Anolis sagrei: one gene and its partner. The protein of the gene in region 1 interacts with the protein of each later gene in a pairwise test. Links are inferred from orthologs where the notes say so. Each region holds a gene or a part of one and is shown on either strand. Other genes may lie near its edges. The genes, in order: KXD1 and CCDC185.

Region 1 (9,914 bases):
ATGATGAATCTAGAGCAGTGGTTCTCAACCTTCCTAATGCCACGACCCCTTAATACAGTTCCTCATGTTGTGGTGCCCCCCAACCATAAAGTTATTTTCGTTGCTACTTCACAACTGTCATTTTGCTACTATTATGAATTGTAATGTAAATATCTGTTAAGCAAGATGTATTTTCATTCACTGGACCAAATTTGGCACAAATACCCTATATGTCTAAATTTGAATACTAGTGGGACTTGGGGGGGATTGATTTTGTCATTTGGGAGCTGTAGTTGCTGGGATTTATAGTTCACCTACAATCAAAGAGCATTCTGAACTCCACCAAGGATGGAATTGAATCAAAAAGGCTCACAGAACTCCCATGACCAACAGAAAATACTGGAAGGTTTTGGTGGGCATTGACCTTGAGTTCTGCAGTTGCAAATCACCTACATCCAGACAGCACTATGGACTCAAACAATGATGAGTCTGGACCAAGCATGGCACGGATACTCAATATGCCCTGATATGAATACTGGTGGAGCATGGGGAAAACAGACCTTGACATTTGGGAGTTGTAGTTGCTTGGATTTATAGTTCACCTACAATCAGAGAGCATTCTGAAGCCCACCAATGATAGAATTGGGCCAAACCCCCCACACAGAACCCCCATGTGGGCCACAGCAACGCGTGGCAGGGGACAGCTAGTATTTACATAAAACTGTAATTTTTACATATTTGTTTTTGTAAAATATTTGCATAAAACTGGTGGAGCTTGGGGATAAGGCTGTCCAACTCTGATTAAACCATTACTCTAACCTTCTTCGGTGTAAATGTGCTTTCGTATACTTCCAATAATAATAAAGAGAGTAAAATAATAAATATAATAAAAAATAACAATAATACAGTAAAATAATAAATGTAATAATAATAGAGTGAAATAATAAGTGTAATAATAACAATAATAGAGCAAAATAATAAATGTAATAATAATCATTAGAGTAAAATAATAAATGTAATAATAATAAATGGAGGTGCTCTTGGGGGAAAATAGACCTTGACATATGCGAGTTGTAGTTACTGGGATGTATAGTTCACCTACAGTCAAAGAGCATTCTGAACTCCACCAATAATAAAATCGGGCCAAATTTCCCACACAGAACCCCCACAACCAACAGAAAATACTGTGTTTTCTGATGGTCTTTGGCGTTCCCTCTGACACCCCATCGCGACCCCCCCCCCAGGGGTCCCGACCCCCAGGTTGAGAAACTCGGAGCAAACATAGCAAACTTGAAGTACTGATGGACTTTCTCGGGGTTAACCTGGCATGATGTGAGTTGTAGTTCACCCACAACTTTATGCATTTAGGACATTTACAAAACTGACTTTTTCAAATAACATGGGCAATGCCAGGCACCCAAGCTAGTAATAAGTAAAAGAAAATACAACAACATGAAACCAGTAATAACATTACATAAAATAAAATAATAAAATTAGTATAATATAATATTATGTGTGTGTGTGTGTGTGTGTGTGTATTACTAATCTATACACATAATAAAAGTGAAAATGTGTATGACTGTATGTGGTGGAGGTGTCCAGTTACACAGACAGCCTCCTGCCTCCACAAAGGCTATAGTTCCCACTATGCAGGAAGCACCGATTGCCCTCCCTCCACTGACATTCCAGGTTAGAGTGGGCACTATGAACATGTTTCCCTACCCCTGGCAATGTCGTCCCCAAACACCATACTGCACGACACCCAAGGAAAGCTTTCATTCAGAGACGAATTCATCCTAGATGTTCTGTTTTGCCTCCAACAAACAACAACAGAGAGGAAACAAAAAAGGACTTCTAATCACCTCTCAACAAAAGTTTGCTCCAGGCACTGTCAGGCCATTATATCAAGGTGGTCAGCTGAAACATTCACACCTAGCTCCAACAGACAAGAGTCCTTTGTCTCACCCTGGTCATTCCACAGATATATAAACCCTTTTTCCTAGTTCCAACAGACCTCACTACCTCTGAGGATGCTTGCTATAGATGCAGGTGAAACGTCAGGAGAATGCCTCTAGACCATGGCCATATAGCCCGAAAAAACCTACAACTCAGTGATTCCGGCCATGAAAGCCTTCGATAATACATTAAACAATGCTTTTTTCAAATAACTCGTGGACCGCCGAGTCCCCAAGCTAGTATTACTAATAGACATAAAATTAATATAAAACAATATAATATATGTATAATAATAATAATAATAATAATAATAAAACTTTATTTATACCCCGCTACCATCTCCCCAAGGGACTTGGAGTGGCTTACATGAGGCCAATCCCAACAACACATCGATAAAAACAACAAGCAATAAGCAAAATAAATAATACAATTAATATAACTCACACATAGACAATAACACACAATGATTTCAAAACCTATGGCTGGGCCAGATGTAATTAAACCAAAAGTAGAGAGCAACCCAACGGGTAATTAAAGTGCTTCTGAGGATATTTTATATATTATAAATATACAATTTAATAATAATAATAATAATAAGAGAAGAATGTGGGATATAAATATAGTGCTAAAATATTACTAATAAAAATAAATTAAATTAAATATAATTAATATAATATTATGGGTGTGCATATATTACTAATATACAATTTAATAATAATAGGAGAAGTGGGATACAAATATTACTAATAAGAATAAAATAAAATAAATAAAATAGAATTAATATCATATAATATTATGAGTGTGCATATATTACTAATACACAATTTAATAATAATAAGAGTAGTGGGATACAAATATTACTAATAAGAATAAAATTAAATAAATAAAATATAATTAATATCATATAATATTATGTGTGCGTATATATTACTAATATACAATTATTATTAGCATTATTATTATAAGAGAAGAAAGGAGGATATAAATATAATATTAAAATAGGAATAATAGAATAAAATACATATAATATAAAGTGTATATATTACTAATATATTATTTAATAATAATAATAATAATAATAATTTTATGATTTCCTCATGGCGGTTCACGGCACAGTCAAAACACACAAACATTGCAAGAAAAAAAATCCATAAACGCATGTATTAAAATGTTAGTTCTAGAATATACCAATTCTATCAAATGCATATGGAGTACACAGGGCAGAGATTGAAACACATTGAGAAACCTAAAGACTGTAGACATTATGCTGGGTGGAAGGAGGAAGAAATTAAAAGCAGGAGAGAAGCCAGATTCTGAATGTCTTGCACTCATCTTGCAAGCCATTGCAAGCAGAAGAGAGAAGCGACCCATTGCAATGCAAAGGCAGTAGGGTGGGCAGGAAATGGCATGGCTTTTACCCCAATCTCCAATCCCCCTTCACTTTCCTCTGCTTGCAAAACACTCACCTGGACCCAGGAATTGCTCACTTCCTTGGTCCCGCCTCTCTTTCCATCAGCTGATGGCCGAGGAGGCGGCTGATAGGCTGCGAGAGCTGCCACTCCAGCCTGACCTCCGCACACCCCCATTGCGCAACCTCTTAAAGGGACAGTGACCATCCCCAGACTGTATATTTACCACCAGCTTTCTACTTATGCCTTTTCAGACTACAGTTCTCATCAGGCTTCTCTTTGTGATTACAGTTCTCACCAGCTTTTCCTTAATGTCTTTACAGACTACATTTCCCATCAGCCTCTCTGTCTTTTCAGATTACAGTTCCCATCAGCCTTGACTTTGTGACCTTTCGGATTACAGTTCCCATCAGCCTTTCCTTAATTTCTTTACAGACTACAGTTCCCATCAGACTTTGTGTCATTTCAGATTACAGTTCCCATCAGCCTTTGTGTCTTTTCAGATTACAGTTCCCATTAGTCTTCCCTTTGGGTCTTTATAGACTACAGTCCCAATCTGCCTTTATGTCCTTTTGGACTACAGTTCACACCAGCCTTCCCTTTGTGTCTTTAAACTACAGTTCCCATCAAGCTTCCCTTTGACTTTACAGACTACGGTTCCCATCATCCTTCCCTTTGTACCCTTTCGGATTACAGTTCCCATTAGCCTTTCCTGAATGTCTTTACAGACTACAGTTCCCATCATCCTTCCTTTTGGGTCCTTACAGGCTACAGTTCCCATCAGCTTTTCCTTAAGGTCTTTACAGACTACAGTTCACATCAAGCTTTCCTTTGTGTCTTTACAGACTACAGTTCCCATCATCCTTCCCTTTGTGTCTTTACAGGCTACAGTTCCCATCAGCTTTTCCTTAAGGTCTTTACAGACTACAGCTCACATCAGCTTTTCCTTAAAGTCTTTACAGACTACAGTTCACATCAAGCTTTCCTTTGTGTCTTTACAGGCAACAGTTCCCATCAGCTTTTCCTTAAGGTCTTTACAGACTACAGTTCCCATCAAACTGACCTTTGCCCCGATCCGAGGTTTTAAAATGAATCTGCGTATTCAGGATGACTCAGTGGAGAGAATGAAGTAATACTTTAACTGGAAGAATAATATAATATTTTATATTGACATATAATATTAATAATAATATTATACATTATAATACTAATAATAATATGATATAATACATAATACTAATATTGTGCTATGCTAATAATATCATATATTACATATTCATATAATATTAATAATACACTATAACAATATATAATACTAATATTGTGCTATGCTAATATTATCATATATTATATATTCATATAATATTAATAATACACTATAATAATATATAATACTAATATTGTGCTATGCTAATATCATCATATATTATATATTCATATAATATTAATAATACACTATAATAATATATAATACTAATATTGTGCTATGCTAATATCATCATATATTATATATTCATATAATATTAATAATACAATATAACAATATATAATACTAACATTGTGCTATGCTAATATTATTATATATTATATATTCATATAATATTAATAATGTAATATAATACTATATAATACCAATATAACACTAATATATGAAATATATTACTGCTGATAATATATAATAATATAAAAATGGCAATACTATTTTATTGTTTTCTGAAAAGATGAAGCGGGATATCAATCCAAAAAAATCGATGAATGAATAAATCTAATATCTGTGTTATTGCATTCCCATAACATAGAGAGGGCGTGGTTTAGCCCTCTTTTTATCCCCCAATGAAAATGCGGCGGGGGCGGAGCCAACGGAGTAGGAAGCAAAGCGCAGGCGGGTCCACCATTGCTAGGGTAACCACGCAGGGCACGTCCAGGGACGCAAAGCCTATGTCAGCGCGTAGCCACGCCCCACCCGGAAGTGAGCCGTTAGAGGCTGTTGGAAAGGAGCCTTCCGGTGGGGCTGAGTGGAAGAAGCGCTCTCTCTCAGCGCAGGCCTCGGTCGCGTCAGGGATGTGAGCTTTTGGCTTTGGAGCTTCTTTCAGGTGCGTCGGGGGCGGGGCCAAAATGGCCATTGGGGAACAGTGAGTGGGCGGGGCCTGACCCGATGGAGTGTCTCAGGGGGCGGGGTTGTGGGCGGAGCTTGGGGAAGGGGCGGAGTTTGGGAAGGGTCCTCTTCTGCCAACACAGATACAGACTTATAGAATCATAGAATCAAAGACTTGTCAGCTGGAAAGGAGGGGGTTTCCTATTGGGAAGGGCTTGTTGGCTTTCACAAGGGGCAATCCTTGTGAGGTTTGTGGGCTACTGAGCACAGAAGTCATAGAATCATAGAGTTGGAAGAGACCCCATTCTGCCATGCAGGAAAAGCACAGTCAAAACACCCCTGACAGAAGGCAATTTAGGCTTACAATTTAGAGTTACAAGCTGGGTAGGTGCAGAGAATGCTGTGGATTTCAGTAAGGCCTTCAACAAGGTCCCCCATGACCTTCTGGCAAACTAGTCCAATGTGGGCTAGCCAAAACTACGGTTAGGTGGATCTGTAATTGGTTAAGCGGACGAACCCAGAGGGTGCACACCAATGTATTGTCAAAGGCTTTCATGGCCGGAATCACTGGGTTGTTGTAGGTTTTTTCGGGCTGTATGGCCATGGTCTAGAGGCATTCTCTCCTGACGTTTCGCCTGCACTTGGCAAGCATCCTCAGAGGTAGTGAGGCCTGTTGGAGCTAGGCAAAAGGGTTTATATATCTGTGGAATGACCAGGGTGAGACAAAGGACTCTTCTCTGTTAGAGCTAGGTGTGAATGTTCCAACTGACCACCATGATTAGCATACAATGGCCTGACCGCGCCTGGGGCAAGCTTTTGTTGAGAGGTAGATGTCCTTGCCTGTTTCCTCTGTTGTGCTGTTGCAATTTTAGAGTTTTTTAATACTGGTAGCCAGATTTTGTTCATTTTCATTCTTTCCTCCTTTCTGTTGAAATTGTCCACATGTTTGTGTATTTCAATAGCTTCTCTGTGTAGTCTGACATGGTGGTTATGAGAGTGGTCCAGCATTTCTGTGTTTTCAAATAAAATGCTGTGTCCAGGTTGGTTCATCAGGTGCTCTGCTATGGCTGATTTCTCTGGTTGAAGTAGTCTGCAGTGCCTTTCATGTTCCTTGATGCGTGTCTGGGCAATACTGCTGCATTTGGTGGTCCCTATGTAGACTTGTCCACAGCTGCATGGTACACGGTAGACTCCTGCAGAGGTGAGAGGATCCCTTTTGTCCTTTGCTGAACGTAGCATTTGTTGGATTTTCTTGGTGGGTCTGTAGATAGTTTGTATGTTGTGTTTCCTCATCAGCTTCCCTATGCGGCACTACAAATAAGATACATGCAGTGTGCATAGGAATTCATTCATTTTTTTCCAAATTATAATCCGGCCCTCCACCAGTTTGAGGGACTGTGACCTGGCCCTCTGTTTAAAAAGTTTGTGCACCCCTGTTCTAGAGGCATTTTCTCCTGACGTTTCGCCTGCATCTATGGCAAGCATCCTCAGTGGTAGTGAGGTCTGCTGGAACTAGGAAAAAGGGTTTATACATCTGTGGAATGACCAAGGTGGGACAAAGGACTCTTGTCTGTTGGAGCTAGGTGTGAATGTTTCAACAGCAGTACAATACAATACAGCAACATAAAATATAAACAAAAAAATAACATCACAGTAAAAATAAACCGATAAAATAAAATAAATAATATAAAATAACATAATATAAAATCAAACACAATAGGTAGGCCAGATGTTTGACATAAAATTATAAAACACTAGATGAGATAGCAATGAAAAGTGCAATTTGTAGGGAAGGAGCTCGTAGAGGACTGAACAGTGGAGTTAAACTTTCAATAAGTTGGGGGAAAGTGCAATATGGGGAGAATGCTCTTTGAATGCAATTTTCCTGCTGCTTGGCACTGGATGGTTTTGAGGTCTCTTCCAACTCTATGATTCTATGATTATGATTCTAAGATCCGATGGGCCATCTCGTCTGACCCCATTCTGCCATGCAGGAAAAGCACAATCAAAATACCCTTGACAGAAGGCAATTTAGGCTTCTCAGCTGTTAAACTGAAATCCCTGGTTATCTCTTTGAACTGTTAAGGACAACGTTATGCCAATGCACAACATATATACCAGATCTTCAGAAGTGCATGTGAAAAAGATCTCTCTGCCCCGGAGTGTGGCTGGGGCTCCTTCTTTGGGGGCTTTGAAACAGAGGCTGGATGGCCATCTGTCAGAGATGCTTTGAATTCAATTTTCCTGCTTCTTAGCAGGGAATTGGACTGGATGGCCCATGAGGTCTCTTCTAACTCTATGATTCTATGATTATATTTTCTCCTTTTTCTTTTATATTTGTTTATATGCCTATATGTACTTTGGTATAAGTCTAAGTCAAACTCAATGTATAAGTCAAAGGCAGGTAGGAGAGCCAAAATGAGTCACCTTTCACCACTCAGAGAAAGGGATAGTTCCATTTTTTTTTACAAGAGTTAAGATGCAGTATTTACATTGATGTTTCATATACACCTTATACACATAAGTCTGAAGACTGTTGCACATGAAACTAAGTCCATGTATATTAAGCTACCAGGCTTTTAAACAGAGGTTGGATAGCCATCTTTCGGGGGTGCTATCTACACCCCGCCTTTCTCTACCCCAAAGGAGGCTCAAGGCAGCTTAAAAGGTAAGGTAAAGGTTGTCCCCTGACATTAAGTCCAGTCATGTCTGACTCTGGGGGTTGGTGCTCATCTCCATTTCTAAGCCGAAGAGCCGGGGTTGTCCGTAGACACCTCCAAGGTCATGTAGCCAGCATGACTGCATGGAGCGCCATTACCTTCCCGCCGGAGCGGTAACTATTGATCTACTCACATTTGCATATTTTCGAACTGCTAGGTTGGCAGGAGCTAGGGGTGACAGCAGAAGCTCACGCTGCTCCCCGGAATCAAACCTGCGACCTTTAGGTCAACAAGCTCAGCAGCTCAGCGCTTTAACCCACTGCGCCACCGGGGGCTCCTTACATGGCAACTTACATGGAGGCAATTATTCAATGCCTTAAAACACATTCAATTAAAAAAAATTAAATTAGATTAAAATTAAAAACATATTAAACATTTAAAAGCATTCTATTCCATATTATTATTATTATTAAACTTTATTTGTACCCCGCTAGCATCTCCCGCAGGACTCGATGCTGCTTACAAAGGCCAAGGCCTCAACACAACAACAGCAAAACAATAACAATACAATTTAAAGCAAATTAAAACATATGCAATAACAAAACATTACATCATTACGCAATAAAAACCAGGGCCGGGCCAGTGATGGGTACAGGTTAAAAGTGCTGGGTGTGGCAGGAGGTATGTTGGATTTCCGGGCAAGTGCAATGTGCAGAGAGTCTTAAACTCTAATAAAGTGCTTAAAATCACACCATCCATAGTCATTCCATATATTCCAGATCTGTTAATTGCACTGCACTATTCTCCGAAGGCCCGGCCCCACAGCCAAGTTTTTACCTTTCTTCTGAAGGCTAGGAGGCAGGGGCCTGATCTAATGTCACTGGGGAGACAGTTCCATAGCCGAGGGGCCACTACTGAGAAGGCCCTGACTCTCGTTCCCACCAGTCAGGCCTGCGAAAGAGGTAGGACTGAGAGTAGGGCCTCCCTGGACAATCTTAATCTCCGAGATGGTTCATAGGGAGAGATATGCTCAGACAGGTAAGCTGGGCCAGAACCATTTAGGGCTTTATAGGCTAAAGCCAGCACTTTGAATTGTGCTCAGTAGCAGACTGGCACTTCAACTGACTGTACTATAGTGTACTATACATCTGCTGCAAACAGACTTATATATGGACTAAACATCTCACTGCAGCATACTGACAATGAAGGGGAACTCTGCACGCTCTCAGAGGTTCCCTTCTCTTCTGCTCTCAAGGGGGTGGCATAGGGATGGACCACAAGGACAAGTTGAGTCAAGTGAAGAAGGCTTTATTTCCCAGCCAACAAATGGTGGACAGTTGGCTTGAAGCATAAAGAACTGCTGCACTCCAAAAGTGGGGCTGCAATTGTTTATAATTTACAGCAGATCAAACAACACAATTTTGATTGGTGTTTACATTTTGTCTTTTTCACTGGCTTATTCCTTGTTCATTGTATTGTAATTGGCTCTCTATTCTATGCACGCAAACAGCTAAGATAGAAACTCACTGGAACTTCATGTCTCTAGCACTGACCCTGACTTGCTTGAACAGCAGCCAAACACTGGTCTTATCTTCTAGTTTTGCATACAAAGAATTTGGGAGGGAATTGTTTTTCTAAAAACTGCAGCATCTGCTCTTTTCTTTTAGGACTACAACTCCTATGATCCATTTTCAGACTACAGCCTCTACAAGTATACTCCTGCTCTGACATCAACAGAGTCAATTAGTCAGGGTCAGTGCTAGAAACATGACTTCTAACTTCCAACTGACTCAAACCTCAACTGACTTCTAACTG
Region 2 (9,482 bases), on another chromosome or scaffold:
AAGAATGTGCTATTAAACTCATAGACTTAATTTCATCTTAGGTCACTGAACTGTTACTGTTACACTACAGTAGAAGATATTGTTTTATTGTACATTTTCCCTCTTATTGTCTTACTCCTCTCTTTATAGGTATTTTTAATTGCATTATCCATACCAACAATTTCCTTTAAGTAACAAACCTCCCGTAACTGTAATTCATAATTCTTTTTGGGAACTGAGAGACAATTTTTTAAAGCCTGCTTCTTTTTATTTTCATTACTCTCTGGGCAATCTGCACTATTAAACAAATTACATCTAGCAGCTGCTTAAATTACAACTGAAAGCAAAAAAATGGTTATCTTACAATAACACAGTTATTTGGAGAGGAAAAAAGACATTGTGCAATGTATACAAGGATAAAAGAGCCCCCGATGGCGCACTGGGTTAAACCGCTGAGCTGCTGAGCTTGTTGACCAAAAGGTCGCAGGTTCAAATCCAGGGAGCAGCTTGAGCTTCCGCTGTCAGCCCCAACTTCTGCCAACCTAGCAGTTCAAAAACATACAAATGTGAATAGATCAATAGGTACTGCTCAGTCATGCCAGCCAAATGACCTTGGAGATGTCTCCGGACAATGCCGGCTCTTTGGCTTAGAAATGGAGATGAACACCAACCCCCAAAGTCAGACATAACTGGACTTAATGTCAGGGGACAACTTTTACCTTTACCTTACAGACATAATGATAGAGTTGATAGCGGGGTTGCCAGGCGCTGAAGGTGAAAATAAAGTACTCTGGAAAGGAAAGGCCTCATCCCCGCCCCCTTTCACCCAAGGTCCTCTATGGCCTAGACACCTCTTGTGGCAAAGACATCCAGATAGTACCTGCACCCAGCCTCCGGAGAAGGTCTAGAAGGGGGAGTGGGGAGAGGTCAGATGGGCTACAGAAGATAGAGAGACCCCTCGCCACCCAGAGTGGAGCCCATGTCACCTGGGTGCCCAGAAGGATGCCACCATTGGAGGGAGGGGAAGAGGCTGGCCAGGCTTGGACTCACTCCCTACCGGAAGGAAGCGCATGCTAGGCTCACTGCATACTCAGATCTGGTGCATGCAATCAGTGGAAATAATTATAATGATGAATGTTAAACTTCCATTCTATGTCTAACTTTTGTTTATTTTAATATGTATTTTATGGAAATATGTTTTAATATGTGTATTTTATGGAGTGTTTTTTAAATTATTTTGTGTTTTGATTAGGTGTTGTAATAATGTTGTAACCCACCTCAAGCCCTGAGAAAAGGCGGGTAAAAAATAAAATTATTATTATTATTATTATTATTATTATTTGATGTCCTGGACCAGGGTGCAATGGGACGTGGGACATTTTATCTAAATAAGGGACTGTCCCTTATAATCCAGGACACCTGGCAATGCTGGTTGATACTCTATCAATGGGAGTGTCTGCTGGACCTACCTCCTTCGGGGTGCCACAAAGGGGCCTCATAACTACTAATACAGGCCCTCATTTGTCCTAAATCCAGCACTGCTCATTTGAGTCGTCATTTTATAAAAAAGATACAATTTTATTATTATCCAATTGTATATAATGGAAATGGAGCAACCACAGGAGTCCTGGAACCAAGCACCAGCAGATACCAAGGAACCACTGTACTTCCATTTATCCTGTTTGTTGTAACTTTTTATAACTGTTTGTACTATTGAGAGGAGGAAACACATTAGAGGGATGAAACTGAAGTTCACAGTTCAATCTTTTAACCTTCTTGTTGTACAGTTAATTCAACTAACAGAATATATACTACAATATTCTTTATATATGCATCACCGCATGAAATAATCCATATGCTAGTGACTGGGCTAAGTGTTTGATTGTACATTACAGGGGCTAGTAATTACATCTTGTATGTGGCATTAGAAAAATCAGATTACATATGATTATCCATCCAGATTTACCAGCATTCGGCTGTAGATTCTCTGTTCCAGTGCCAAAGCACTGCACAGAAACATCCAGGGAAGAGGCAAAGGTTTCACTGACGTGATTAGTCTTCCTAGCAGGCTGAGTTCTTCCTCTGAGAAATGGAGCACTGACACTATTAACCAAGCTGGACTCCAAATGCTTTTAAAGGATTTTTAAAAGTCCAAATCTCTTGATCCTCAGATGCTGTAAAAGCTAAGGAATTAAATACTTGTGAAATGGCTGTGTGACTATGTGAGAGCTAGTCCTAGACATTTTGCTGCCTGATGTAGAGCAGAAATTGGCACTCCTACCTGCCAAATGAAACTGTATAGTACCCTAAACCAGCCATTATTTTGGTGCCTGAGGCAGAAATTCGCAATCAACTCTTTCCATCTCCTGGGCGATAAAACTATAATAACAAGAAATTAAACAGCTAACAATTCAGTGCCCTTTCATGACACCAAAACCTGCTACCAAAGATGCCTGAAGCAAGAGTGAATCACAAAATGTATATTCTCCCCCCACCCCACCCCACCCCCATCCCAATGCAGTGGTCTTTAAACCACAAGTAGATCTTTACAGCCTAGGGAAAATACTGATGGTATTACCATTTAAAATATATATTATTTCTCTTTTGAGAAAGAGAGAGAGATTTAGGAGTGAAAGAGGAAAAGAGTGACTAGATACAAATGAACATTTTTTAAAAGTTTAGTATTGTACCAAGAACCTTTCCCCCAGTATTGTATGAATTTTGAAGCCTTGGGCCTCCAAGTATGCATTCTGAACATATGCAGGAGGATTTACATGCATTTACATATGTACACACAGAGAGGCACTGGTTAAAATCTTGGCAGTTTGAAACTGCCAGCCGCAGCAAGAGAGTTCCAAAAAGGACTACACTAAGGGGCACTGCGACACTACACAAGTATAGTATTTACATATATACACACAGAAGTCTTAACAGGATCACATAAACCTTAAGGTTCTACTTTTACTGCCATGGTTCCATGGAATATTGGGATTTGCAGTTCATTGTGTGCCTTAAAATTATTTTCAACTTCATGTGGCCCTAAGGCAGACTATTGGAAGAGCAATAAATCACAGAGTTTCCTTGGTAAGATTTGTTAAGGAAAAAGTTGCCTTCATCTGAGACTGCATGACTTACCCAAGGCCATCATCTAACAGAGTTCACGGCCAAGTGGGGAGTTGAACCCTGCTCTCCAGAGTGCTCTCCAGAGTCTACTTCAATGCTCAAATCACTACACCAGTCTGGAGTTTCCTCCTGTTTGGTAAAGTCCAGCTTTACTTCCCCATTTCTCAATTTGTTGGTGTTAAAAGTTATTTTGCAAGGGAAACATTTTGAATGCCACAAACTGCTGGTCTGTGAAGCAAAGCACAGACCAATGCTACATAGTTGCCTCAGCATTCCAAGACTCAGGAATAGTTCAATGAGATTCCTCCTGTAGTAGACCAGATGCCAGATTAATGTAGTTTCTGGTTGCTTGAGAGTTACTATTACAAATGGGCTTAACTAGCACTATACACTAAGCCTGGGTAACAACGAAAAAAATTGTTTCTAAAATCGATTTGTATTTGGGGGGTTTTTTTGTTTCGATATTTAAAATAATTACAAAATTTTCCTTTTAAAAAGTTCGATATTTACGAAATTTCGTAAATGGTAAAAAAATTAACGAATCGATTTCCGAAACAATAACGAATCGATTTGTTAATGGCAGACGCGACCGCGAAATACGCTAAAAAACCTCCAAAACCTTCTGAAGCTTCCCTCTCCCTCTGTTGTTGACTGTTGGTGTGATTTTATAATTTTTTTTCACTAATTAAACCATAAAACTGGCCCAGTCATGCGGAAATAATAACGAAACGACCTCAAAACAATAACGAAATGAATACAATATCGAAATACGAAGCATTTACAAAACGTTTTTGAAAATTCTTTTTTTTAATAATTGCTCCAGAATGGTTCGTTATCGTTTTGTAATTGAAAAAATTAACGAATTATTAACGAATTACGAATTAACGAAACGAAACCGCCCAGCCCTACTATACACCATGCTATACCATACCACAAACTTTTTACAAACTTTATTACTATGTTATTATTTTATTTGATGTTAGTTTTGTTTATATGTACTTTTGCTCTATTGTAATTTGTATGGGCATGGCCTCATGTTAGCCGCCCCAAATCTCTTTGGAGAGATGGTGGCAGGGTATAAATAGTTTATTGTTGTTGTTATTATTATTATTCTATTTTTTGCTGGTTGTGTGAGAGTTCCTGTTAACTAAGAGTCTACTGTAGTTTGTTACAGGAGTCTTTAATATTTATTGACTGTTATAGCAGTGTTTTGCATTTTTTTAAAAAAAGTCCAACTTCCCTCTTTCTCAAATTGCTGCTAACCTTCTAAGGGAAAAAGTGGGGAATGGCACAGGCTGCTGGCCTGTGAAAGCAAAACACAGGTTGTGTGGCATTTTGCTAAACATCCCCAACTGAGCAAGACCCAGGAATGCTCCCAGAGCTGGGAAAAGACCCATCCAATCCAACTCCATTGTGCCATGCAATCCTGCACGACTTTGGCATGGGCAAACTTTGGTCCTCCAGGTGTTTTGGACTTCAACTCCCAAAATTCCTAATAGCTGGCTGACTATGGGGCCTTCCACACAACCTTATATTTCAGAATATCAAGGCAGAAAATTCCACAATATCTGCTTTGAACTTATTTGAGTCCAGCTAGTCCTAGACATTTTACGGTATGATGTAGAGTTGCAATTGTCACTCCCACCTCCCAAATGAAACTGTATAATACCCAAAGGGCCCTTCCGCATAGCCCTATATCCCAGGATATCAAGGTAGGAAATCCCACATTATCTGAGTATGGACTCAGATAACCCAGTTCAAAGCAGATATTGTGGGATTTTCTGCCTTGATATTCTGGGATACAGGGATATGTAGAAAGACCCTCTGAGAGAGCTAACCCTAAACATTTTGCAGCCTGGTGTAGAGCAACAATTTACACTTCCAGCTCCCAAATGAAACTTCATAGTACCCTAAACCTGCCATTATTGTAGTGCCTGAGACAGAAATTCCCACCATCATCTCATTCCATGGGCGATAAAAACTATAACAATAAATTAAGCAGGTAACAATCCAGTGCCCTTTCATGACATCAAAACCCTGCTACCAAAGATGCCTGAAGCAAGAGGGAGCCACAAAATGTGTGTGTATTGTGGCTTTCATGGCCAGAATCATTGGGTTGGTGTAAGTTTTCCGGGCTGTATGTATATTCTTTTCCCTACCCCATCCTAATGCAGCTGTTAGGAACTGTGGGAGTTGAAGTGAAGTTTGCCCACGCCTGCTTGAGGATCTCCTCTATTTGACTCTTTCGAGTTCACGTTGGGACTGAAGGGGAGAGCTGGTCACGTGGGAGGAAGGGGTGAGGAAGTCCCTCTCTGACCAGCCCAGCCCCGCCCGGCTCGGGCTGGAGGGCGGGGCGCGCGGTCTCCTTGGCGACGCTTGTGACGCGCGCGCGCTGCCTATGTGGCGCCGGGGCGCGCGTGGCGGGGGGCGGGGCCGGGGGGGCGCGAGGGCACTCGGGCCATGCGGCGGCAGCAGCAGCGACGGCGCCGCGCGCGTGGCGGGTGGGCGGCGTGCGTGGGCGGCGAGGAGGAGGCGGGCAACCAGACCAGCAGCCGCCGCGCCGCGGGCAAGAAGAAGCCGCCCGCCCCGTCGTGCTGCAGCCTGTCCGGCGCGGAAAGCCCGCGGGAGATGGCGAGGCGCAAGAGCCCCGGGCGCTTCTCGCCGGCGTGCGGCTTCCTGGAGGCCTACAGCTCGGAGCCCGAGGTGGCGGGCGGCGAGGGCCGGAGGGGCCGCCTGGCCGGTCGGCCGGGAAAGAGCCGCGCCTGCTCCTCCTCGCTCCGCCGGCCCAAGCCCGCCTCGGCGCGCCGCCTCTCGGCCTGGCAGCCCGGGGGAGAGGGCTGCGCCACGCCCGGCACGGCCACCTCTTGCACCACCCTCTACGGCGGGGACTGGCCCGCCGGCCCGCGCGCCGAGGAGCCCTGGGCCAGCCCCGTGCCCCGCCCGCTCGACTACGCCGCCGCCGACTTCCCCACCGACGCCAGCAAGCCGGCCTCGCGCTGCCCCTCCTCCTACTCCTCCCTGGGCCCGCCCCCGAAGCCCGAGGCCAAAGAGCTCAGCCGACGGGACTGGCGGGAGCTCTGCGGGAGCAGCCCCAGCCTCGTGGACCTCATGCACTCCTTGCGGAAGTACGAGGAGGAAGAGGAGGAGGAAGCTGCTGCTGCTGCTGCAGCCTATGACCCCATCGGTGCCACCCCACACCTCCGCCACCCCCAGAAGCAGCCCAGGAAAGCCCACGACCACCAGATCCACCTCCATGACTTGGTGGACAAGCGCTACGAGGACCTGCTCCCCGAAAGGGACAAGAAGATCGCTGCCCTGATGCTGGCCCGGCACCAGGAGGAGGAGGAGATGAAGGACAGGCAGCTGCGGGTTTCCGACGCCTGGGAGAACCTGAGGCGGAAGGAGAAGAAGCACAAGGCCCGGCTGGACAAGGAGCGCCGGTACCATGTGGCCGACAGCCTGGAGCAGTGGCAGCGGGACCGCGACCAGAGGCTCTCCAAGCTCCGGCTGGAGGAACAGCAGCTCTTAGCCTCCAGGGAGAGGGACATGATGCTCCGCGACAAGAAGTGGAAGAAGCTGGCCAAAGAACAGGAGTCTCGGCGCAGAGAGAAATGCGAAAGTGCCCGGCTTCAAGCCGAGTACCGGAAACGTTGCCAGGAGAAGCAACTCTGGGAGAAAAAGCTAAGCGAGAGGAGTGCTCGGGAGCAGAGCTCTCATGCCTACAAGGAGAAGATGCTGCAGGCCCTGGAGAAGAGGCTGATGAAGGAAATGGAAAGGAAGAGGCGGAAAACAGATATGAATGAATACAGGCGGGCCCAGCACATGCACAAGGACCAAATGGATGACCGGCTGAAAGCGGATGAGCTCTACAAGAGGCTCTGTATCGAGCAGAAGCTCCAGCGGTCTCAGGAGATCCTGGAGCAGCTGCTGGAAGAGAGGAACAGGGAACTGAAGGAAAGGTCTTTCAAAGAGGAGGAGCAAGGCATGATCGCCAAGGTGCGAGCCAAAGAGACGGAGGAGGAGAAGAGACGGCGGAAGGAGATGTTGCTGCAGATTGCCGAGATGAAGATCCAGCAGGCCAGAGAGATCATGTCCAAAAATATTGATGACCGAGCACAGCATGTAAAAGAAATGAACTGCCTGAAGGAAAGGAACCACCATTGCCGCAAACAGAAGCTCGATTACGATGAAAAATGTCACCTACGGGAGTTGCAAGAAGCACTACGACGGAAGGATCAGAAAAGCAATCAGATCCTAAGGCACAAAGACACGGCTATTGAAGAATCGAGGAAAATTGCCAAAGCATCGTATGACCTTAGGGAAAAAGTGAGAGATCTGATCAACCATAATTCATTCGATCAGATGGCATTAGATGCCCATCGCAATGCAAGCGTCCTTAGAGGTCTCTAGTGAAGTGTAACGAAACATCCCAGAATGTCTTGTGCCCCTCAAAACATGGTTGTAATGTGTTCATTTTGTAGAATTATGCACTGCTGTACACTAAAGTGGTTTCAGCCTTAATTCATGTTTGACTCATAAGTCTTTGGTTGGATTGTGATTTAAAGAAGCTGTATACCACATCTCACTTAGCTTTATATATTGTATCTCATATATTACTTGGATTTGAACGTAAGTCACTACAGCTTTATACAATTAATTGTAGCCATGACATAATGGGTGATACCTTTTAATTTAATATTTCTGTAACAATCCTTTTAAGTGTGTTTTTACAATGGCAACCTGAAGTTCTTCATAAATTCTTGATTTCACATATATTTAATGACATTAGCATTTCATATCCAAGTATGCATCCATCACTCATAATCAAGAACATAGTGAAAGTTGCTCAATATTTTTATATTTCAATAAATATTTCTATAGTTCAATAAATATTTTTATACCCAAAGAAGCAAGTCTCCAGTGCACATAGCTAGCCCACTTATTTCTGTGAATCATATCATGGTGTCCATTTGGGGTGGCAAAGTGCCCCCTCAGATAATCTTGGGCTGAAATTCCTAAAATTTAAACACACTCAAATACACTGGGCTTTTGTGGGATTCGGTGAATTAGTGTATTCCCCATTAAGAATCATTTGACTGTTGGCTTCCCATTCCATTTATGTCAACATAAGATAGGTTGATTTTACTGGGATTTACAACAGTGCAATCCTTTGAATCAGCATCATAATTTAATCACTGGCAGGCTGAGGGTGTCTGAAGCAGAGAGGCAATCAAAGCATTCTTTCTAGAGGTTATCTATAGACGACTGGAACAAGTGTTACGTATAACTTTTCCCCCACTGGAAAAGAATATCCCACTTCTGACACCAATTTGTCATGAATGACTTTTCAATAACTTTGAAGCATAGGCGCTTTTTATTGCAATTTCCAGTGTGAGAGGGTATATCAGATTACAGAAAAACATTTAGACAAAGAATGGCATTGGACATGCAAACATACAGATTCTATGCAACTACATTGGATTTACAATTACATGGCTAACTAACAAAGGGGAATTACATTTTCACTCAACATTCACACCACATGTACATGCATTCATCTTCATGCATCCAAATATTACCATATCCTTTTCTCCCTCCTTGGAGAAGCACCTGTTAGGCCTGCTTTCCTGCAGCCTGCCAATGCATTGTTCCAAAACTTCCATAATGCCATAACTTCAAAACTCCAAAATACATCCTTTCCCTAAGCACAATGCCAAGGACCAAACCTCTGTTTTCTATACAGCAGAACCTGACTCCCTGCACAAAATCCAAGACTCCAAGGGCACACTTCTTCCTCTTCCCTTGAGAAAGAAGACCCAAAGTGATCAGACTGCTCCCTTGCAAATCTGCCACTCCATGATACACTATCTCTCTCCTTCCCATGGAGCAGAGTATAGCGGGTGGAACAGACTCCTCTGGTCTGCCACAACTTGGGCATTATTAGACTGAGTCATAAAAGACTCTGCTGATGTAGTCCCAAAGTTGTAAATGAATGATAGACTTCTTCCATCCTGGCTTCATCTCAGTTTCTTGACTAGATGTTGATCTTGATTGGTGTTGACAAACACAAGGCTTGTGTTGACTTCCTTCCTAACATTGTAAACATTTCTGTTATCATTGTCCCAGTTCTTATCAGAGTTTACTCTTCAGTTCTTATTAGCAACTTTTAATTACAGTCCAGCAAGCAGGTAGATAGTCATTGCAGGTCTTAATATTATACTGGTGTCTCCAAAATTATTAACTCCACTCACACAACTTCTTCCATTCATTCTCACACATCATTATTAAATCCACATTTATCAAATCTGCATATAGAATTTCTTGTGACACGAATTCATGTAGCACAGTGGTTCCCAACCTTTATTTGACCAGGGACCACT

What was found.
Region 2: the proteins of KXD1 (region 1) and CCDC185 interact in a two-hybrid assay, tested with the Homo sapiens proteins (2 studies listed by BioGRID and IntAct). The two-hybrid records come from large-scale screens. The link is inferred for Anolis sagrei from reciprocal best matches to the Homo sapiens genes KXD1 and CCDC185.

What each region holds. Positions count from the first base shown.
Region 1 is NC_090034.1:50,951,543-50,961,456, reverse strand, and holds the start of KXD1 (kxDL motif-containing protein 1), read left to right. Parts: upstream 1-5,275; 5' UTR 5,276-5,437; intron 5,438-9,914.
Region 2 is NC_090021.1:87,014,436-87,023,917, forward strand, and holds CCDC185 (coiled-coil domain-containing protein 185), read left to right. Parts: upstream 1-5,555; 5' UTR 5,556-5,562; coding exon 5,563-7,512; 3' UTR 7,513-7,623; downstream 7,624-9,482.